Drosophila melanogaster: one gene and its partners. The protein of the gene in region 2 interacts with the protein of the main gene of each other region in a biochemical or structural test. Each region holds a gene or a part of one and is shown on either strand. Other genes may lie near its edges.

What was found.
Region 1: of the proteins of Ube3a (region 2) and Atpalpha, one has a biochemical effect on the other in vitro, tested with the Drosophila melanogaster proteins (one study listed by BioGRID).
Region 3: of the proteins of Ube3a (region 2) and tkv, one has a biochemical effect on the other in vitro, tested with the Drosophila melanogaster proteins (one study listed by BioGRID).

The regions. Positions count from the first base shown.
Region 1 is NT_033777.3:20,946,014-20,952,644, reverse strand, and holds the start of Atpalpha (Na pump alpha subunit), read right to left. Parts: upstream 3,866-6,631; 5' UTR 3,840-3,865; coding exon 3,816-3,839; intron 1-3,815. UniProt on the Drosophila melanogaster protein: This is the catalytic component of the active enzyme, which catalyzes the hydrolysis of ATP coupled with the exchange of sodium and potassium ions across the plasma membrane.
Region 2 is NT_037436.4:11,204,774-11,213,023, reverse strand, and holds Ube3a (ubiquitin protein ligase E3A), read left to right. Parts: upstream 1-2,440; 5' UTR 2,441-2,817; coding exon 2,818-2,870; intron 2,871-2,933; coding exon 2,934-3,188; intron 3,189-3,292; coding exon 3,293-4,095; intron 4,096-4,157; coding exon 4,158-4,399; intron 4,400-4,464; coding exon 4,465-5,019; intron 5,020-5,085; coding exon 5,086-5,267; intron 5,268-5,333; coding exon 5,334-5,826; intron 5,827-5,888; coding exon 5,889-6,227; 3' UTR 6,228-6,602; downstream 6,603-8,250. Other genes in the region: CG7600 (uncharacterized protein), read right to left, coding at 1-205, 263-2,087; Plod (procollagen lysyl hydroxylase), read left to right, coding at 7,212-7,290, 8,034-8,119.
Region 3 is NT_033779.5:5,239,445-5,245,866, forward strand, and holds the start of tkv (thickveins), read right to left. Parts: upstream 4,696-6,422; 5' UTR 4,632-4,695; coding exon 4,538-4,631; exon of another isoform or gene 3,255-4,537; intron 3,177-3,254; exon of another isoform or gene 2,775-3,176; intron 2,063-2,774; coding exon 1,925-2,062; intron 1,734-1,924; exon of another isoform or gene 1,662-1,733; intron 1,394-1,661; exon of another isoform or gene 1,322-1,393; intron 1-1,321.

The DNA of each region.
Region 1 (6,631 bases), on a different chromosome or scaffold from region 2:
AAAAGGCACTTTTTTTATTTTTTTTTTTTTTTTGTGCGATCGTGACTGCAAAAGTAGCTTTATGGCAACGTCAGCAGCGCGTATTAAATTGTATTTAAATTAAAACAAATTACGGACAGGCCGAGTTTGTGTGCAAGTGGCGGCAATTGCTGATATTGTCGTCACATATGAGGCATTAAATTAAATAAAAATTTATTATGACGATTTAAGGAGCGTCGGGCAACAAGCAAAGTGCGAATCAAAAGATACAGGCACAGATTCACACACAATTGAGCTACATATACAACTGTATGTATCTTCTGCGAGAATTCGAACAATCTTTCAATTGTTTGCATCATTTGGAAAACATTTTCCATTCCATTTTCGTTTCGAAATGCCAAGATTTTAACATTTATGGCAGGCAGGTATATGTAGCTATTTTTTTATGGATCTCCAGTGCCAAAAGAAATCCCACGGACAAGTGGCAGCCAAATCCGATTTTAGCGAGTTCTTGCGGGTTATATATTTATTTACTCGATCTAGAATAGTTGGATCGCCCGCTGTTTTTTGTGTTTATTCATTTGTTATGCCTTCCCATTTTACCGGCCAATTGAATCCGAGTAATATTCGAAAGTTATGTCATTTCCTTAGCTATGCATTACAGATTGCCCAGTGGAGCCGGCTTAATCTCGACCCAGCTCGTTTACTTCCTCCCACAATGCGTTCGCGGTAATTGCGGTAATTGTTGTCGTTCAGACAATATTAAGTGCGTGACACAAGACGAGTTCAGAGTTCTGGAGATTCACAAATCTCGTCTTACCGCCCGAAACTCGTTTGAACCGGTGGCGAACAGGAACAATTGAGCCATTGTTGAGCTCCGGCTCAGCTACTTCAGGTAGCTGGACAATAAACTACCCCTTCGGAACTAAGCCACCCCTGAAGGGTAATGATCGATGGACCTTGAGAGACCTACAAGCTGGAGACCAACTCGAAAACAAACGAAAACGAAAATAAATCAACGTACCGCTCTAGAACTTAATCTACAAGTGTTGGTCGAGCGAGTGTTATCTGATAAGCAGACGAAAGGTAAATATAGCGCAAAGGCACAGATACAGATACCGATACCTGGGAAACTGGAGGCCCAGACCCCTAATAGCGGGTTATGCAATCGTTAGTAATTAAGACCCTACCCATTGACGCAAACTGGGCATGTGCCAAATATCACACCGCAGCGAAACAAATCGAAGTCCTTGTCGAATGCAATCTGTGTGCTGGATGTGACAGCAAACAGTCAATGGGCGAGGTGATAATTTCCACATCTTGCGATTATGGCCGCCAATTGATGATGCCCACATAGCGTAGATGGCTTTTTCCAACAAGATCTATTCAAACGGTTTGCCATTGTCAGTTGATTAGATTTTTATTGGCGCGTAATTGAATTAAAACGGCCAATATTGTTTTGCTGCCACGCTTTGATTGCCGAAAGCAAGTCACCACCTCTGTCGGACGGTTTTCTGGTATTTTCCAGTTGTAATTATTATCACTGTCGCTTTTACTGCCATCGGCAATCTGTTAAGTAGTTAACGCGAACCTAAAATCTCCGAGCCGGGTAAAACTGGTCAAAAAGGGAAGGGGCCCGTCTATTCGGGTGCACAAAATATCTGGTTAATATATAGTATAGGTGTGTGTACTACATGTCAACGCTGATAACTGCTGATAGTATTCAAATCCTGGGTGTTAGCATTTAGAACCTGCCATTACCACGTTGGAAGCACATTATTCAGCTTATTTGCCGTCCTCTCCATAAACTCTTAATTGCTTTATCTGCATTTTTCGACTGATAAACGGGTAGATGCATACATACATACATATACCAACTAGTTCTCGTTTTGGCTGGCCCTTAATTCCAAATCATTTACTTATGGAACGCACATTGAGAGGAAGGGAACTTCATTATCGCGTTCTTAGAGCATCGTCAGATTGTAGTTTCATGATTTTTGATGTGCTTTCTTAAATTGACTTCAATTGAAAGCGCATGAGTCAGCATACAAAACGAAGCCACAACGCTGGTGGGGGGATGTGAGATATACTCGTACATAACTCAGCTTTACGCGGATTTGTGCGTGAAATCATAATAGAATTTCCACTGAGCACACTGGGTTAAGATATAAGATGTCGTAGTCCGGCAGATTGAATTATAATAATTATGCAACGTTGTATTCTACACCAACAATATTATCATCAGAATTTGCCCTTGAAAATCCGTTGGGAAATGCGTCATATTTTATAAAATTAATTGTATGAAACCCAACCCAATAAACCCAACCACAAATGTTTTTAAACTTAAAATAATTTGCGTAACTTATTTTGATTCTTAAAATATGCATACCACTACAATACTAATAAAGACGTAATTTTGGAATTACATACTTAATTTTATAACAATACAAATATGCACAATATAATATATATTATAATAATTATATAATAATATCTAAATATATTCTACAAGACACTTTCAAGTCTAAGTGAGGTCTTAAGCGTTCTTTTCAAGTTTTCCCGTTACAAATAATATCTGGACCCACTGTTTGTTGCGAGTGGATTCAGACCGCTTGCTCTATAGTTTTGCATACTTTCGGGCCGTCGAACCAGTATGTGTGTGGGTGCGTGCGTGTGTGTGACCTGCCCTTAGACAAGCCCCAAAATCAATAGAGCTGGCAATACGGACTTAGAATTGGTGGTCTAGCCCTAGGAACAGAACCGAAAGCCCGGGTGGAAACAACAACCCTGGCGAAGAACTCATTACCTTCTGCGGGGTAATTAAGTGGCGTCATCGGTGGGGCATTTAGTAACTAATCGAATGGTGAGGGGGTAGGGAAGGGAAAGTAAGGGCTACGTACTGAGAAAAAAGTACGGTAAGAAGTACGTCGATTTACGCTAATGTGCCAGTGTGTGTAATTAGCAGCGCACTACTCGGCCCAATGACACCAATTCCGGAAGGAGGGAAAGCACGGAAAATGGAAAAATAAACGTGTTATGCAGGGTAGTTTCGTTCTAGAGCTCGAGATTCCAATAATGAAATCTGCGAGATGCGGCGGAATGGGGCGTGGTTCGGGAGGGGCGGCAGCAGTACCGGTTATGTAAGCCGAAAACTGGAAGATTTCCAAGCACGGAAAAGCGAAAAGCTTTCGCGCCGGGAAAGTGGAAAATTTGGGAAACTGGTCGGCCTGGAAATGCAAATTGCGCATGCCAGCTAAGCGCACCTGGAAAGCGAGAGAGAGAGAGACAGAGAGGCAGAGAGAGAGAGAGAGAGCAAGAGAAAGGGAGAGCGAATACAAATTCGAGAAAAAAGTCAAAAGCCAGGCTCTAAGCCCAGGCTATTTTTACAGATCAGCAGGTAAGCGGATATAGGCCCATCCAGATCCAATAGGATTAGTAACTGCGCCCCGTTTCACATTCGATTCCGTTTGCAGTTACCGAAAGCCCGCAAACAAATTAGTAAACTTCGTTGGGCGTCGCCTCGGCTTTGTTGTTGTTGTCGTTGCTTCTCGCTTTTTCACCAGCAACAAAACAAATAGTAGTAGCAGCAGCAGCAGCAAGAACAACACCAAAAGCAATGTACACAACACAGATACACGCACACACCCACACAGCGCACTCGGGCTTCGATTTTTCCCACTAAAAACAACGCCCGCTCAGCGTATCACTTGGCCAATTTGTTTTGGCCCTGGTTCTTTTTGGTTCCCTCGTCATGGTCTAACAACAGTTTAAACTTAACCATTTTCTCACTTAACTAACTTAGTTTTCATCGTAATCCAGGCTTTATTTTTGCTCACCTCGTAATCCGACCTTAACGCCATGTTATTTTAATTTAACTCGATTATTCCCAGGGATGTGGAAAATTTACACAATTCCAACGTATCGATATTTTAGAAGTCGTGACTACCAAATGGAGAGTTATCGGCCTATTGTATCGAATAAGCCGGTGTAGAAATCGGGATGGCAATCGGTTAAGAAAATGTAATTGTAAATATTGCATTATGAATAAAATTACTATTATAATTTGTCAATAGTCCGAACAGTCTGGTTTATTTAAAATGAAAAGTTAAGTATTTTAAATATACCTGGATATTTATTTACCGAAAGTTGTTACTATGCTACCTTCAAATATTAATATCTGGATATGTTTGGATTTCAATACTCTCATTAATAATTGCTAATTTAAAATACCAAGTTAAAAATATGTTTAATTTTTCACCTCAATTTGGAAATAACATACTTTTATGTACTTTTTATATCAACTGCAAGCGTGAAAATTACTGGAGCTGCCAGATTAAAATATACACACTACGATAGTTGCCATCTTGAATATTTACAGATATGGAGAGTTGCCAACGTTATAGTTATGTGTATTCAATTTCAAGAGATAATAAAATACCAAATACAATACGCGCGTCTTCTTGCATTCCAAACATAGGTGGCGCTGTATAAGCAAAATAATTTTAAGTGGCAGATAGAACGAAGTGTAGATGGCGTTCGTTAAACGTATAAATTAGCTACTCTCCAAGAAATGTTCAACTGGACTTGAATCTTCTCAAATTTATTTCCTATGTTCAGTATTGATCGTTGATCATTGTTGCGATGAATGGCTTCAAACGGGCCAGAGATTCTCGAAGGCTCAGCAATTCGACGATCCTGTGGGGAAAAACGCATCTTGGAGATTATAAGTTCAGCTTACTTAAACTAATTAAATTATACTTAAATTTCAAGATACACCTGATACCCCTCGTCATCATTATCCAGCAACTTATCATTGGAAGCACCAACTGAAGGTTCGCCCGAAACCAACAGACCGCGTAATTGATTATAATTAAATTATGAATTTAATTGAGAACACTATTGATAAGTACGAGTCACGATGTGGAACTCAAGACGAAGATCTTCCAATTTGTCAGTGTAATGGAGCTATAAACATAACAATCCTCCAAACGACCAGGCATTTGGAAAACTTATCTCCGTCCGCACAAGATCTCATTTTATCATCCGAAATGCTGACCTCCACTTGGTCGAAGCTGAATTTATCGCAACTCTAAACCCCAAATATAATCAGGATAATTAGATGTCTCAAGTCATTTTGTTCTTGAAGGCTAGCATGTTCTATCTAAGTTAGCTTCCCAGCAAAATGGCATCTAAATTTCTACAGATTCATTCAATTGATCAATTCGGTGACCAATTACAAGGAAATGCCAAATTTGCACACTCTTACAAAGAGCACAGTTTGCACGGTTTCATTTGCCCTTACCTTCTCCGGAAGCTTCAATTGGTTTATCCGGTTAATTAATATTTTGAAATCAATTGTTGTCGACACGAGCACAAACAAGGAAGCAGCTCCAAAGGGGCTGCGGTTGCTTAGGCGAAACGACTTTTCGCTCAGCTGCAGAGCAACCCACTTTCCACTTTGCCCATCCTTTTGCCCGCCCTCTCATCCTGCGGCCCCGTCAATCGATTCAATATCCCATGGCCATTAGAAGGAAGCCGGCTCGACTACAAAATTGAGCCCACATAAGCTGAGGGGAAATCGCCTTGTTGCCACTGCCACTGTCTTCGGGTTTGGCTTTCGCTTTTGCTTTTGCTTTGGCATTGGCTTTGGCTCAAATAACCTGAAAGGCCCAATCAACAGGTGTCTTTGCCTCTGCTGCGTGCTGGTGCTTAGTGTTTCTGTGTGTCTGGGTGTTTGTGGTTCAACAACCGGGCCACCGGCGGCAAGGAGTCAGCTTCACGGCCGAGTCGGATGCCTCGGTGTGTGCCAAGCCAAATGGCGAGAAATAAAACTGGAATAATTCAATAGGAGGCGTGGCCAGCCCACTAAGCCCATGGGTAGGAAGTGGAGGGGGGGGGGTGTGTGGGTATGGCTGCGATGGTTGGATTCAGTTCGGAGAAGGCAGCTTCATAGCTTGCGTAATGAATGTCCTTAGCAGGCTGGGCACGTTTCATGTTTTTTCGTTCATGTTTGCTCTGCCAGGCTCCTGGAATCCCCCATCCAGGCCGCCAATTTGGAGCCAAACGGAAGGACCAGAATGCTGGCCATTAAAGCTCGTGCTCCTCCAGCTCCTTTTGCTCATTTCACTTAAGTTCATTTCGCAATTTAACACTACCAGGACACGCATCAACGAGCTGGCGTCTTAATTTGTGCCGCTTTTTCTGCCTACGCTCATAATAAATGCAAAAAATAGTAAGGGCAAAAAACAAAAAAAAAAAAAAACAAATAAATTTCCAGCAGAGGAAATGCCGAAAATATTTGCATGCAAATTTCCGACCTCCTTCACGCAGAAAAAAGCTGCACACCAGCAGCCGTTTGTCCCGTCAACCGCAATTTGAGTAAATTTAATTGAAGCCCCTTGGCCTCCTGCTCATGCATATTTATTGAGTCGTGGAGGGGACGGTGGGAACGGAAGCGGAGCACCCTTTTTGGGTCCAAGCAACAGTTGCCGCACATTGCGCATACGCCGCGTGTGCCACGGAGTAAGTTTCTGGCGCAGCACAGGGGCAGATCCAGCGCCAACTTAATTTCCACGGCACAACTACTACTACAGCCGATTATGCTAATGTCGAAAGAAAGAAAATTCAGGTGTTCTCCCGCAGCAGAACGGGG
Region 2 (8,250 bases):
GCGCCGGCCGTGCGGATTCCGTAGCCTTGGAGCAGCACACAGCCGTTCTTGAGCTGAGAGTTCAGGCTGCGGAAATTCTCGGAATTGAGCACATACGCATCAGAGTGCAGGATGTTCACCAGCAGTTTGCCATAGCCCAGGAACAAGCGCGGCAAGGTCTTCAAAACAGTTCCCCGGCAGAGTAGCAAACTAGGCGGTCCATAGCCTGAATATATAGGTATTTAGAGAATAACTAGTGGGATAACAATATAAAGAAGTTTACCTGTGATATGATTGTAGAATAGCTTGCTCCACATGGGCGCCACATCGGAGCTGCGCAGGAATTGGCCGAAGTAAGGAATGCTAAATGTATGGCTGAGCGACGCCGTCAGCGGCGAAGCGGCTATTATAAACTTGTACTTCTTCTCCAGAACGCGATCTCTTGTCTGCTGATCCAAACCCTCTAGGCACTCTAATCGCAGCAGATCTAAACCGCCCGGCAGCAAATGTCGCAGTGAGCAAATGGTAGAACGCAGAATGACTGCGTGGGCGAAATAGCGCGACACGTCGCCTTCGCCTTCCGCATCCAGCAGCGAAACTTGCTCCAGTTCAGCCAGAAAACTGTCTAGACTCTCCTCGCACAGCTTGCCCACCTCAAACATGGTCACAGCGTGATTCTTCAAGCCGGGCGACAGATTGCCCATCATTAGAAAAGCGGTGAGCGTGGAGTCGAAGAGAAAGCCCACCCTCTTACCGCTTTTTGGCAAGACAGCCGCTGATATTGCAGCCGATGGAGCAGCCTGCTTTGGGGCACACATATCCTCTTGCTCCAGCTCGGAACTCAGTTCCTGCTCATCGCTGTTGTTCACTCTCTCCTGGGGTGTCGTATTCAGGTTGGCAAAGCTGAAGTCACTCGTGTTGCCATCCGAGGAGAGGTAGCCTATGGAACTGCTGTCCTTATCCTTGTCCTTCTCCCTTTCCTTGGGTGTCTTTGGCGATTTGGGACTTTGGTCGAATTCGAAGCTGCTACTGGTATGCAAATTGTAGTTCAGCGGTGTGATCTGCGGCGTATCTGGCGTTTGCTGCTGGTTGTATCCCTCCCAGCTGGAATGATTCGTCTGATTGACCAGATCTTCTTTGCGATGTGCGAAACCCAGACGGCAGATAAACGATATGGCCTGCTTAACGCTATCCAGTTCCAGTTGCAGCATCTGTGCCAACTCGGCAATGGTCATGTGCTCATCCGCGCTAACGAAGATCTTGTACAGCAGATTCTCAAAGTAGTCCCCGCTCACACGATTCATCACAAAGTTGCGCAGCGGCGGTATGGATATCCTGTCCTCCCCGCTAATGGGCACATCTAAGTAGATCAAACCCTTCCGGTACAGGCTGTGCACCACGTCGTGATCGCATTTCCCAGCCGGCTGGGCTCCAAAGTCAATCAAGTCATCGAGCAGGCCTCTTTCAGCGGGCGACAGATAGCGAATATCCGCTTCCAGGACATAGCCAATGTCCAGTCGCCACCAGGGCTCGATGTGTATGCGCACCGGAAAGCGTGGCAGGAAGTCCAGCGGATTGGGCCGCGACCCGAAGATCAAGGAGCGCGGTGTGTGAGTTTTCATATCGCTAATAAGGGCCAGGTACTCGTTGCGGCCAATGCCCAAGACACGCAGACAGTCGGCTGCTGTAAAGTTGGGCAAAGTATCGTAGCTTTTGTCGCTTTGCAAAAGCTGACCCAAAACATCCAGATAGTAGTTGAAGGGCGTCACCCTCAAGCCCTTGGTGACGATATCGGCCAGGTGGTAGGGAAATGCGCCCAATCCATTGATGCTCTTCTGTATCAATAGCTCGTAGTAGCGTTGCTCCCGGCGAAACACCTTGGCGGCCAGGTTGCCCCGGAACCTCAGCTGATTCTTTAGACTATAGTTAAAGACGAACTTCTCGTAGTCACGCTGATTGTTGTGCAGAACCGATCGCAGGTGCACGGGCAGCAGTTCCCAGGTGACATTCCCACGCACACATTGCTGCAGTTGGTTTTGGCAATTGGTTCCAGAGCCAGTGGTCGCATTGCCACCTCCGCTGGTGGCCAAATCCTCTTGCTCCGTCATCTTGCGACTCGGATTGGTTTCTCCGGCTGGTCGGACTAACTCATTGCATTCGCTCCGGCTACGGAATCCAGTATTTTCTTCCTGCGTATTATTTTTCTTTTTTTTTCGAGGAACGATAGATCCGATAATACGGACACGGTGTTATTGGTTTCATACGTCGACAGCTGATAAGACCGCCGGTGTTTTGCAGCACTGGCGAGCAACCAGTTTTTCGATAGTTCGATTATTATTAGTATTAGTCATAATATCCCTTGGAGTTTCACAATCACGTTTAAAAGTGCAAACATCCAACGGACGTCTATCGGCAGTGACTAACAATACTGTCCGATAAAGAATGTGCCTATCGGTGTGCTGTCGATATCACTAGTTCATCGATAGCACATCGTTTAGAATGATTTTCAATATTCGTTGCTGCCTGCTTCATTCATAAACACTTACGCTATTACAGTCAAAATTGTCAAAACGTTGACGAATTATCGAGCTTTAAAGGATTGCTATCAGATTGCAAGGAAGTCGGCGTTCAGCGCTCGACGAGCGGGCAACAGAGGCAACGGCAGCGGCTGAGTAGCTTCAGCATAAGAATTTTAGGTAGCCGCGACACAAAAAAGGGACATCAACATCGATTTTTTTTTGCTCCCATTTCGTTTTGTGAGTGGAGCAAAATCACTTTCGACAAACAAAGAAAGGGGCGGCGGCGGTGGGGGCGTAAAGTGCGCAGATTTCAGCGAAGATGAACGGTGGCGGGGGTGGCGAGGATGATCAGCATCTGCCAGGTGTTTCCAGGTGAATAACTTCAGCTACTTACGTTGTGGCATATTAAATCTGATTTTCTTTGCCCCCCATCAGTGCATCAGGATCTGCAGCTGGAGCGGTGGGCGGGCGAGCCACGCCCGAAATGAAGCGTTCGGCGGTGCGCAGCCTAATCAAGCGATACTTCCACCAACTACAATCCGGCTGTGGGAACGCCAACTGCAGCAATGCCAATTGCGCCTCCAGCGGCAAGGTGGCGCCCATGACGCCCAACGAGGTGGCCGCCAGAGCACTGCAGCTCTTTTCACAGGATGCACAGCTCTGCGAGGCGTTCACATCGGAGGCCAACAGGTGAGAATTCTCTTAACAAATGGAACTGGGTAGCAAAGTTTCCAGAGCACCGATAAGATTTTCTATAGGTAATTATCTTTCAATTAAATTTTTTCCCATTTTAGCCCCCAGGACGTGGACATGCTTTCGCCGAACGACAGTAGCAGTAGTAGCAGCGGCAGCTCGACAAGCACAATTACCTCAGCCAGTACCACCACGACAACCAGCAGACAATCGCAGTCAACGCCAGCTGCCGTTGTAGTGCCCGTATCCAGTCCATATCTTACCCAGAGTGTGCCGCAACTGGATATCGCCGGCGCTGAACACTCCTCCGGCGACTCGGAACCGTGTACACCCACCCTGGCGCCAGTCCACAGCTTGGATGCCAACAGTCTGATAGCGCTCTATGAGCAATGTAGGGCGGCTGACAGTTACGACAGGATTTGCCACGCAATCGGCGTTGTGTTCTCCAGCGTAGATAGACTGGGCAAGAGCTTCATTCGCAGCGCAGAACCAGCGGCTTCTAGTAGTCTCCAGGAGCTGCTGGCCAATTCACCGGGGGCTTTAAACAAGGAGCAGCTACGAACTTTGGAAGGGGAACACGATAAAGACGAAGACAGTACACAACAGGTGGACGAACAATCAGAATCGGCGGCTAATGCTACTGCTACTGCAGAATCAGTCGAATCAGAGGCGGAGCCCGAAGAAGAGGACGATGATGTGTGTTCATCCCAAAGCAGCGACACACTGGTGGATCTGCCCGGTTTGCGACGAGTGCAGCGTCTCCTTTTTGGCTGTCAAATACGAGCTATAACGGAGAAGCTTACCAGCAGCGTTATTCAGCTGTCTGACTGGGTGATTTACATGCGTACGGATTGGGAGAGGGTCATTCACTGTCTGGTCATCTGCTTTGATCTAGCCACCAATAGTGAGTTTTTCAATTGTATGCCTGGAATGTTTCAAGTTACAGCTTTTCTCATAACCCTTTAGCCAATAACAGTGTGGTGGACATGGACTATCTGGACAGGGTGCTGCCAAAATTGTGCCAAGCGGCGTCGGCCATGCCAGTGCCGGCACAGGCGCGCCTGGCCAGGATCTGGGCTGCTCATTGTTCAGATCAGCTGCATTCGTTGATCGCAGCCTGCCAGCAGCAAATTACTCTACAGGTGCTTTTGGACGAGGAATCCATGCGCGAGAACGAATCCATAATCAGTGTCACCAAAGTTTTAAAGGTATTTGTTAGGTTTATTATGCAATATGGCTTGTAATGCAGTTGGGTTAACTTCTTCTGTGATAGATTGTCTTCTACGCGAACATTCTGGCTAGCGAGCTGGAGCGACCGTCGTGTCGGGTGCCGCTGGAGGATCGAACGGAAGCGGCGACCGCATCTGGCAGCGCAGCAGTGGAGGACGACCTATTCGTCTACAACTCTTTGTTGGAGCCGCACATGCCCAAATTCGCCGAGGATCAGTTTGAAAAGGAGCTGCAGGTGTCGGCAATCGATTGCCGGAAACCACTGATACCACTTGAGGAGTTCTACAACGAGGCACTCAGTGAAAACATTCAGATGCACCACGACTACCTGTCCTACAAGACGTTAGCCATGGAGAGCGAGATTGGTTCCGGCCACGCGAACTATTTTTCGTTCATGCTGTACGCCTTTATCCTCACGCCGTCAACAAAAGTGGATGCCTTGTACTATGACAGTCGAATGAGGATGTATAGCGAGCGCTACTCCTCCCTTCACTCCATCCTCAACAATATTGGCCAGGTAGGACAGGAAGATAATCCTCGGCCGGATCTTAAGCTGACGGTGCGAAGGGACCAGCTCATCAACGACGCACTTATTGGGGTGTGTACAAATGGTTCTTTAGTGTCCTAGTTAACAGGCGTAATTAATACACGTTTAATTCCCCAGCTGGAAATGGTGGCCATGAGCAATCCAAAGGATCTCAAGAAGCAGTTGGTGGTGGAGTTTGTCGGCGAGCAGGGGATCGATGAAGGCGGCGTATCCAAAGAGTTCTTCCAGCTAATCGTGGAGGAGATATTTAACCCGGCTTTTGGAATGTTTATACAGCAAGAGGAGACCAACAATATGTGGTGGGTATTCAATTGGGATAAATCTGTTCAGTTGAACTATATAAATATATATATATACATATGCAGGTTCAATGCCACACCATTTGAGAACGGAGCGCAATTCACTCTGATTGGTATAATTATTGGCCTGGCGATCTATAACAACGTCACCCTGGCCGTAAACTTCCCCATGGTGGTCTATCGCAAGTTGATAGGCTATTGCGGCACGTTCGCAGACCTCAGCGACTGGAGTCCGGCGCTGTACAAGAGTCTGAAGTCCATGCTGGACTATCAGGGCCAGGATATGGAGGAGGTATTCGAACAGACCTTCAAGATTAGCTATAGCGATGTTTTCGGTGATGTGGTACAACACGAACTGGTGCCGAACGGCCAGGATGTACTGGTGGGGCAGCACAACAAGGAACTGTTTGTCAACCTGTACAGTGATTTCCTGCTTAACACGAATATCGAACAGCAGTTCAATGCTTTCCGCAAGGGCTTCGAAATGGTTACGGACGAATCGCCACTGAAGCTGCTCTTCCGTCCAGAGGAGATTGAAATGCTGGTCTGCGGCAGTCGTGTGAGTAGCTAAATTCAAATTACGAAATTCATTCGGTTGCTGAACTCTGAAACCTTCGGCAGGAATTCGACTTTGTGGAACTGGAAAACTCCACTGTGTACGAGGGCGGCTACACGGAGAAGAGCCAGTACATCCAGGACTTCTGGAGCATAGTGCATGCGATGCCCAGCGAGGACAAGCACAAGCTGCTCGAATTCACGACGGGATCGGCGCGTGTTCCGGTTGGCGGCCTGAAATGCCTGCGTCTGCTAATCACGCGTCACGGTCCGGATAGCGATCGGTTGCCTACCTCGCACACCTGCTTCAACGTTCTCCTCCTGCCCGAGTACAGCAGCCGCGAGAAGCTGGAGGAGCGCCTGATGAAGGCCATCAACTACTCGAAGGGCTTCGGCATGCTGTAGACTATGGTCCAAACTGCAAGTGCAAGTCTGTCATCTGGAACTGATACCACCACCTCTCTGGGAAGAAGATTTCGAAGACTTTGATCGGTTTGAGTTCGTTTTGGGTTCTGCCATTTATTTTTGATACGACCTGTTCAATGAGACAATATATACATACCCAATATATGTGCTCAATTTATATGGTGCGACGGCGAAGCGAGCAGACCGAACGGACACGCGATTTTGTTTCCCTTCTTTAGCCCAGTTAATTGTACATAAACACACACATAAACACGCCACATACTACATTATGTGAACTTACCCTAGGAACAACACCCACATTTAAAAACAGTACGCGCTGAATATTTTCCTAAATAAATTTAAAGTAGTTCGGCGAAGAAACAGATGTATTTTCCATTTAGATTGGTTTTCGCAAGTATGGAATATTTTTTAATATTAGATATTTTTAATTTAAACTAAGATTACTAACAAATTAAAATTGTGGAAAAAGATTCATTTAAATTATATTTACATATTTAATTTAGTATAGAAACATCAAATACAAAACATTTTGTAAGCAATATTTCACACTAGCTGACATTTAAATTTCGGTGTGAAGTACTTTTTATTTTTTAACTTAAAAAATAACTTGTTAACTTTATTTTTTATTTAGTCTAGACACATTTAAAAAAAAAAGAGGTGTGAAAGCCTTATTTCACAACAGCTGACTTGGGACTAGTGGATTTTTTAGGCCCTTTTTTTCAGGCGATATTTTCTAACGGCTTAGCCGCAGCCACACATTTGTTATTCGCGTTTCTGAGTTTCTTGCGGGTGGGACTCCCGATATTTTGTGGAGCGGAAGGTGTTTTGATTTCCTTAGCATTTAGCACAAAAAAATGCAACTAGTATAAAGTACTGTTCACTATAACAATTTTTAACCACCGATAGCGAGTGCTTCACTGTGTGTGCGAGTAAGAGAGAGAGAGAGCAACTAGCTCCAGCATCATGAGAATACAACAAAGCGCCTTGTTGTTGTTGCTGCTGGCCGTGACGTCGCAAGGAGATGCCGAGTCCAATTGGAATGGTTTGTTCTTAATTTCTAACTAGAATGAGTTCATCAGCAGCCATAGAAAATTATATTGCATTCATGTTTTCATATTTTTCGATCTTAAGTGCATTCCACTGCCGTACTTATTACACAAATGCACAGAGATAAAAAGGGATGTGATGCGGTTGGTTTTTTCTTATCATTCTTGATAAGAAACTAGAACATCCTTTTCTCGTTCAAAACATAAAAAGTCCGAAATGTAGTTTCCCCTTACTTTTTTCTGTGTATGTGCAGTACATATCTCAGAGAATTTGTTTATGATCCATATACCACCCGACCACATCTCTCCTTGCCTTTTAATTTGCTTTTGTTTTCGTTTCGCTTTGATGCTGCGGTCGTTTACTCTGGAATTGCTCGGAAAACGGAGCAGATGCAGATTCAAGTGTTCAGATGCATCTGCATCTGAGATGAAAGATACAAAATGGTTCTCAAACAGCAAATTCGTTTACACATTCAGAAATTAAACTGCTTTAAACAAGCCGAACTTGTTGTCTAACATGTATTCGTTATAATTTAATGACTTCAGACAATACAATATCATTTTGTTGTATTCTAATTAGAACCCAAAACTAGAATACAGTAGAGCTTACGCAAGTTCAACGAGCAATATAAGAAACTATTAAATTTATGTTAAATTACATTAATTAAAAATAATCCAAAAGTAATGACTTACTTTCTATTAATCTTTACTATTGATTCATATATATGTTAATTTACAGACAAAATCAAAGTGTTCACTGTGGCCACTGAACCCACCGATGGCTATACTAGATATATTCGATCTGCACGAGTCTACGATATTGAGGTGAGGATTCGTATTAATTAGAGCATTTTAAAGTCGAGACAAGAAATTGTTTCACACTGTCTATCTAATATCTATGAGCTGCTATAGTTAGGTATTATGGTTAGCGGAAAAAGAATTATAAAGCGGTTGGA
Region 3 (6,422 bases), on a different chromosome or scaffold from region 2:
TTGTCCAATTAGCACCTGTGCTAAAAACCTTTCGATTTGTTCGTTCCATTAACACTGCACTGTTCCCCTCGAAATTGTTTGCTCTTTCGCTCGAGTGGAAATGCGGGGGCTAAAGGTTGATTCTAGCCATACATACATATTTACTTTGAAATCCAGACAATAGAAAATCCATGTTGGATTTTCGAGTATTTCGTGTGAAAAACGCTGGAGGGCAGGGGAACACTATTCCATCCATACAATAAACACAAAACGGGGCCGACACTCCCAGGGAAAAGGCCAGACAAGCTGGCGGGCCGAATGTATCTGTATCTGTAACGAATCCGACTGTATCTCTGGAAATATTGTTAGAACTGAGCATTAGATACACAAAGCTGCAGAGAGGTGAACCCCGGGTCACTGCAACATGGCCAACAGATGTGCGCAACAGGCTCCCAATCAACGAAATCACCAGAAATCAGACAAAAGACGAAGGTCTCGGAAAAGGTCCAAGATGTCACTTGGAGTGTGGCTGGGCCCTAAATCAAAGTCAGGCAATGCTACCCGATTGTTCTTGGTCTTTTTTTTCCTTTTGCTCCGTCAGTCTTTTGGTCGGTAGCACTGTCCAGCATCTCATGGATACCAGTCTGCGTATCTGTATCTCTGCAGCATGGAAATTTTCGTATTGTACCAGAAATTTGTGTCAACGTGGGCGACACTTTATTGTGTGCCCGTGTTGTTGGGTGTGTGTAAAAATAAACCAAAGACATTTCATGTTGTCAGCAACATGTGGAAAAATGCTCGGAATTCGTTTCGTTCTTGCACACTTTTGCAATGAATTAAAATCTGATAGATACACACATGAAAAACCGAAAAACAGATCACCCTGCCACCTCTTCATTAACACCACTAAATCTCCTCTTCGTCAAAAACTGAAGTGCAATTAACCAGGCACCAACTCATATTCGATTCTATCTCAGGCTCCTTTTCGTTCTGCTGCACTTCACGGTCCCAAGGTGAGGTGTTAAAGTTTTATGCAATTTCAACAACGATAAATTATAATTACACGCAGTGCTGGGCATAAATCTACCCACACAATCACGAGGTTATGAAGCACACAGATACTCCTCTGCCACATTGCGAGTTCAGGCGCGTCAAACATAATTTGTAAGAGCATTAAGTATTCCCCCCATTAACACCTTTCGAGGGTGACTCCAGCCGATCGCCTCTATTAATAAATTTCCAAACTGAACTTAATGCCAAAGGAGGGAAGGTCTTCCACTGATGGAATCCAACCGAAGTCTAACGAGAATCGTATGCCACATTTGGCGAGTGTCGTTCACCGTCCTCGATAGTATAGTGGTTAGTATCCCCGCCTGTCACGCGGGAGACCGGTGTTCAATTCCCCGTCGGGGAGATGCGAGAGCATTTTTTCACAATATATTTTTCCAGTTAATAACAATAACAATAATTTTATACATTTTTGAAGCTTTTATTTTTGTTAGCTTTTATGTAGCACTTCTTTCATATGTTGAAACAGATGTATTGTTTTGTTTAACAAACTAAATTCTTCCGTACCCAGGCAATTATTAAATTTAACTGTTAAATAATATATAAATTTCGAAAATTAAAAAGTAACAACATAAATTAAATATCGAACCAAAAAAAAAAAATTATTTACACATCTCCCCGACGGGGAATTGAACCCCGGTCTCCCGCGTGACAGGCGGGGATACTAACCACTATACTATCGAGGATGTTGAACTTAGGTCGCCAAATTCAAAATATAAACTTGCTGTTGATCTATACATCCGAGTGTTATGATCATAAGTTATATTAATCCGAACTAATATTATATATAAGATAAAATAAGATAAGATATGCAAAATATTCGATGCTGATTTATAACACGCTTTTTTAAATCATTTTATTAAGATGGTAGACTCACCATTTTCCACGGTCTTGCTTTTCTCGTTGTCGGCATCCTCATATCCCTCTGATCCTGGTCCAGATCCCATTTCCATGCCACTCAAAGCGGCGGCGGCCATAGCTTCGACGTCTGGCTGAACATTCGCACTGAATTCACCTACGGGGCAAACAGAAAAACGGGCAATACGAAATATAAGTAAATTGAAAAACTGTGTAACTAATTTGTAAACAAAAAAAGGGAGAGCGGGTGGGAGTCTTGGCACTTGAGTTGCTCTTCTGTGGCGCCAGGCAAATGTCAATTAATAATTTAACAACAACAATTGCCCGTTTGTCGGGCGCCTGAAATACGAGATCTTAATTGAAAATAGAAACACATAGGGGCGATGGAGAGGAAAAGGGGAGTCGCACCAACGGAGAATGGGCAACTTCAACTCTCTTCCTGCTGAAAGCGGATGAGCGTGGGCCAACTAGACAGCTAAACGTGTGTCATAAACTTGGTCAAAAGGCCGCAGAATTTAGTGCCTCTCCGCAGACGGCTGCGTTCAGAACCAGTTGCCAGCCAAGTAGTCGGAGAGGCATCTTTAAGATACTGTTTGACAGCTCGCCGAGATTACGTCTAGTTCTGTCGTCTGCACGCCACAGACTTGGAGGATGACGTTCCTCGACGGCTCAAAGCCCACGCAATGAGCGCGACTTGAAGACCAAGAAATCCCCCTTTCTCGAGATACAAAACCGAGGTGCAAAAACCCCACTGTGCAACTTTCAGTGCAAATCAGCGGAAGCGACTCAGACCCAATCTCAGCGAAAGGGGTTAGGCCTCCTGCAGGGGTTTCTGTGTGCTACACTACCCATGTTTCCCCTACACTCACTTTGCCAAAATTAATGAGCAAACTTCATACGTAATTTGATAAACAGAAAAAGTGGTTGGCGCTCATTGGGGTCTTATCAAAACATTAGTTATTATTTATGATGCGTCTCATTTCGAGAGCTGGTATAATATATGTGTGCCACTCGACGGGCAATTGAAATCTCGTACGCGTGTTGGGTGGGCGAGGAAAGTCGCTATTCCATTCCGAATCTGTCAAAATGATAAAATGAATTATGCGAGTGCAGGTCCGATAAAAAGCTGCCATTCATGGAAAATCGGCGGCAATTGCGGAGCGCGAGCAAAGGATAATCTTAATTACGACCATAGAAAGTCGTAAATTAATGGAACTCAATAAAACTTTAGCGTAACATGAGTGGTGTAAATTATGGGAAACCGCTATACACAGTAATAAAAACATTATTAATAAAAAAAAAGTTCAATGATATCGATAGGGGGTTTGCGATATTTTTTAGTTTTGCAACACTTAAGAAGCAATATAATATTTGTTAGCTGAAAGTGCCTTGCTAAAATTTGACTTTCTAACTCCTCTTAGTTTCGAATATTTTCCAGTGCAACCACGAAGTTAACCGAAGCATTGATAAAGCCCATGTCTATGGCTATCGACTATCGCTAATTGATTGAGTGCCTTGCACTTGTCGACTCGAAACCCGCAGACCAAACGACGTAATTCCCCCGACGCGTCTAATATTTTCGCCACTTTGGTGTTGTGTTGTGTTGTGCCTTACACTCTCTGGCAGTTACATAAGCCATCTATCAAAGATTGCAAATTGCTGGGTGGAAAACTCGCGGCTCTTGTGTTCGACACATTTCCAAGAACTCAAAAGCAAAACAAAACACAAACGTGACAATCCATGTGGGTGCAGCCAAAGAACTGCGACCAGGGGAACTGATTTCGTATGGGCAGAACATGGCGACAATAAGCAAAACCCAGGCACAAAGTGGAGCACGTGCAAATTGGCTATCAATCAATATGCATACGGGTAGGAAAATGTACTGCGATGATATAGTTCGCATCGCTTCAAAAGATTCGCAATTACGTAGAAATAAAAGCAAATGCCGACTGCATGGCAAACGAATTGAATGGCTCCCAGCCAAATGGCAAAAATGTTAGGCCTCTATGACACTAGGTCGAAAACATAGTAGGCTATTCTAATGTAAATTCAAACACTTCCATATAGTAACATATTTTTTAATAACATAAAATGAAGAAAATTGATGAACAGAAGCAGCGCAGTCAAAGGATGAGCTAAAGATGCCAGCTTGCAGGAACACCATGAGCAGTCAGGAGCGCACGCAGAACATCAAGCGCTAGATAATGGAGGATGAATTGACCTTGTGCGAGGTCAATACCCTTTCAATCGATTATGAGGCGGCCGGCAAATGACAGTTTAACAGCCGCCACGGAACTAGCTGATCAATCCATTATTGACGATGTTTTTGGAGAAGACATCCTGATGAAAGACTTGCAGCGTAAGAACACCGTGCAGCCCACTTGCTCAACAACGACATCGTATCTTGTCCCATTTGCTTTGAGAAAATGAAGCGCGGTACCATTATGGTGTGCTTGGAACCGCCATCGTTTACTTCAAAGGACTTGGACACCCGTTTCTCCTCCTCGGGATCTTCCACATCACGCTGCACCAAATCGAAATCAAATTCATCAAAGCGAATTCTTCGCAGCTCCGGTTACACAGAGCTGAACAGCAACTCGACTACTCTGCTGTCCAGCGAGGACGAACTTACTCCGCGTCAGCGCCTCTAGTGCAATCTCTTCAAACAGACCGTCGGCTGTCCCAGATGTGGCCTGGAGTTCAAGGGCCACCAGCTGAAGGCGCATCAATCTCTCTGCCAGGGTCGCAAGAAGCACTAGGACGGCACCTTATACGAACCATACATTAAATAAGTTTTTCACAATTTTTCACACAGTAAATTTTCTTCATGTTATCAAAAGTGTGTTACAAGCAAAATATATAAAACAACTGATTGTAAAGTCAAGGCATGCTTATGTATCTAAAATATTGCTTGTTTAAATTTCAAGTCGATTGGTGTCATAAACGCATCTCTCAGATGGTCAGTGAGTGAAAATCAATTGGGTGTGGTCTGGGTAACTGGGCTTTTCAGCGGTTTGCCTGCTCATTGAACCTTGTCCAACTACAAAATGCTTCAAGTACTGCTACATTTACTGCAAAAATGGCCTAAAAATCGCCTTTCAAGTTGCACTTACAGTGGCCCAAAGAAAAACGCGGCCAACATTGTTGCCTGAGATAAGAAAACTTGGCTGGCGAGAGGAAAAACACACAATGAATAATGAATGGCGAATGTACGCCAGATAAACCCACATTGCATTTGTTGTGGGTTCGGGTTCATATTTTCATATTCATATTAAGTGACTGATTGATTGATGGCCCAGGCAACTTGGAGGTTTACTTTCAGTTTATCGTTCGGTAAGTCACACGTTTCTTTCCAAATCGCTCGTGGTTGGGATGTCAACTTGGAGATTGATGGCAGAATGGGGAAGAAAACCCCAAGGCAATCAAAAGTGAAGTAAAATAGGAGTTACGATAGCCAAAATGGGCAATTAGCAAAGTGGGGGTGCGTTTAAAGTTGTGTTTAGCGAAAGTGAATCACATTTCCTACATGTAATACCATGTTTTTGCTGTTTTATAAGATGCTTATGCATGAAGATGGCTAAAAATAGTATGTGTCACACACATTAATTAGAGTAAAACTGTATATTTCGTAACATAAAAATGCTATCTAGAGATTAGTGCTCCCTCCTTTTCACCACCATTAGAAATCCCCTAACCCAGTCGAGATTCTGGCCAGCAAAGATGTTTTGAAACTGGGTCGTCGCCGCTGAGTGCGCGCACTCTAGTAGCAATTAAAAATTTTAAATATTCCTTCTGCTGAACAGAATTTAGCAAACTTGCATTGGCCACTCAAAAATAGATCAAAGTGAAATTTATGTTACAGATTTTGGGTTTTTTTTTTTCTGGGTGGGGAAAACCAGGCGAACGGCGGATGCGAGAGTGGGACGATAGGGCCAAAAATAAATTCCCCGATGCAGCCATTTGGAGTTGGATTCTGTCCATCAACGCGCCGAGTCCATGCTAAATGAGCTGCACCCCCCGCCAGTCCGATGCATCGGCGTGTGAACATTAGTCAAAAATGCGTAAATGAAATCAATTAAAATTACGCATAGCACACGAGACGCATTCGGAATGGAAATCGATGTGTGTTTACACATTCTGCCTACGCGCTCTGCATGGCCTAATGAAGGCACGTCCCCATGCCATACCATCCTATACCACTCCGTCCATACAATCCCATCCAATTCGATCCCCAGGGAATTGGGTATGGGGAATGGTCGAGGGTAAGGGTTGAACCCGAGTGCAATTGGTAATGGCCAACACAAGAAGAAGAGCGGCGGAGCAGGGGATCACTGAGTGCCACTTCAATTTGTTTACAACAAGTTGGCCCGCTGATTGCAGCTGGGCCTCATTTCATACACACTTTAAAAAATCAATTTTCGACTTGCATTTAACGTGCCATATGCACTTGTTTTATATGATGGAACTTCCCTACCACTTATACAATTCCATAATAATTTCTCGCAGTGCATCATTTT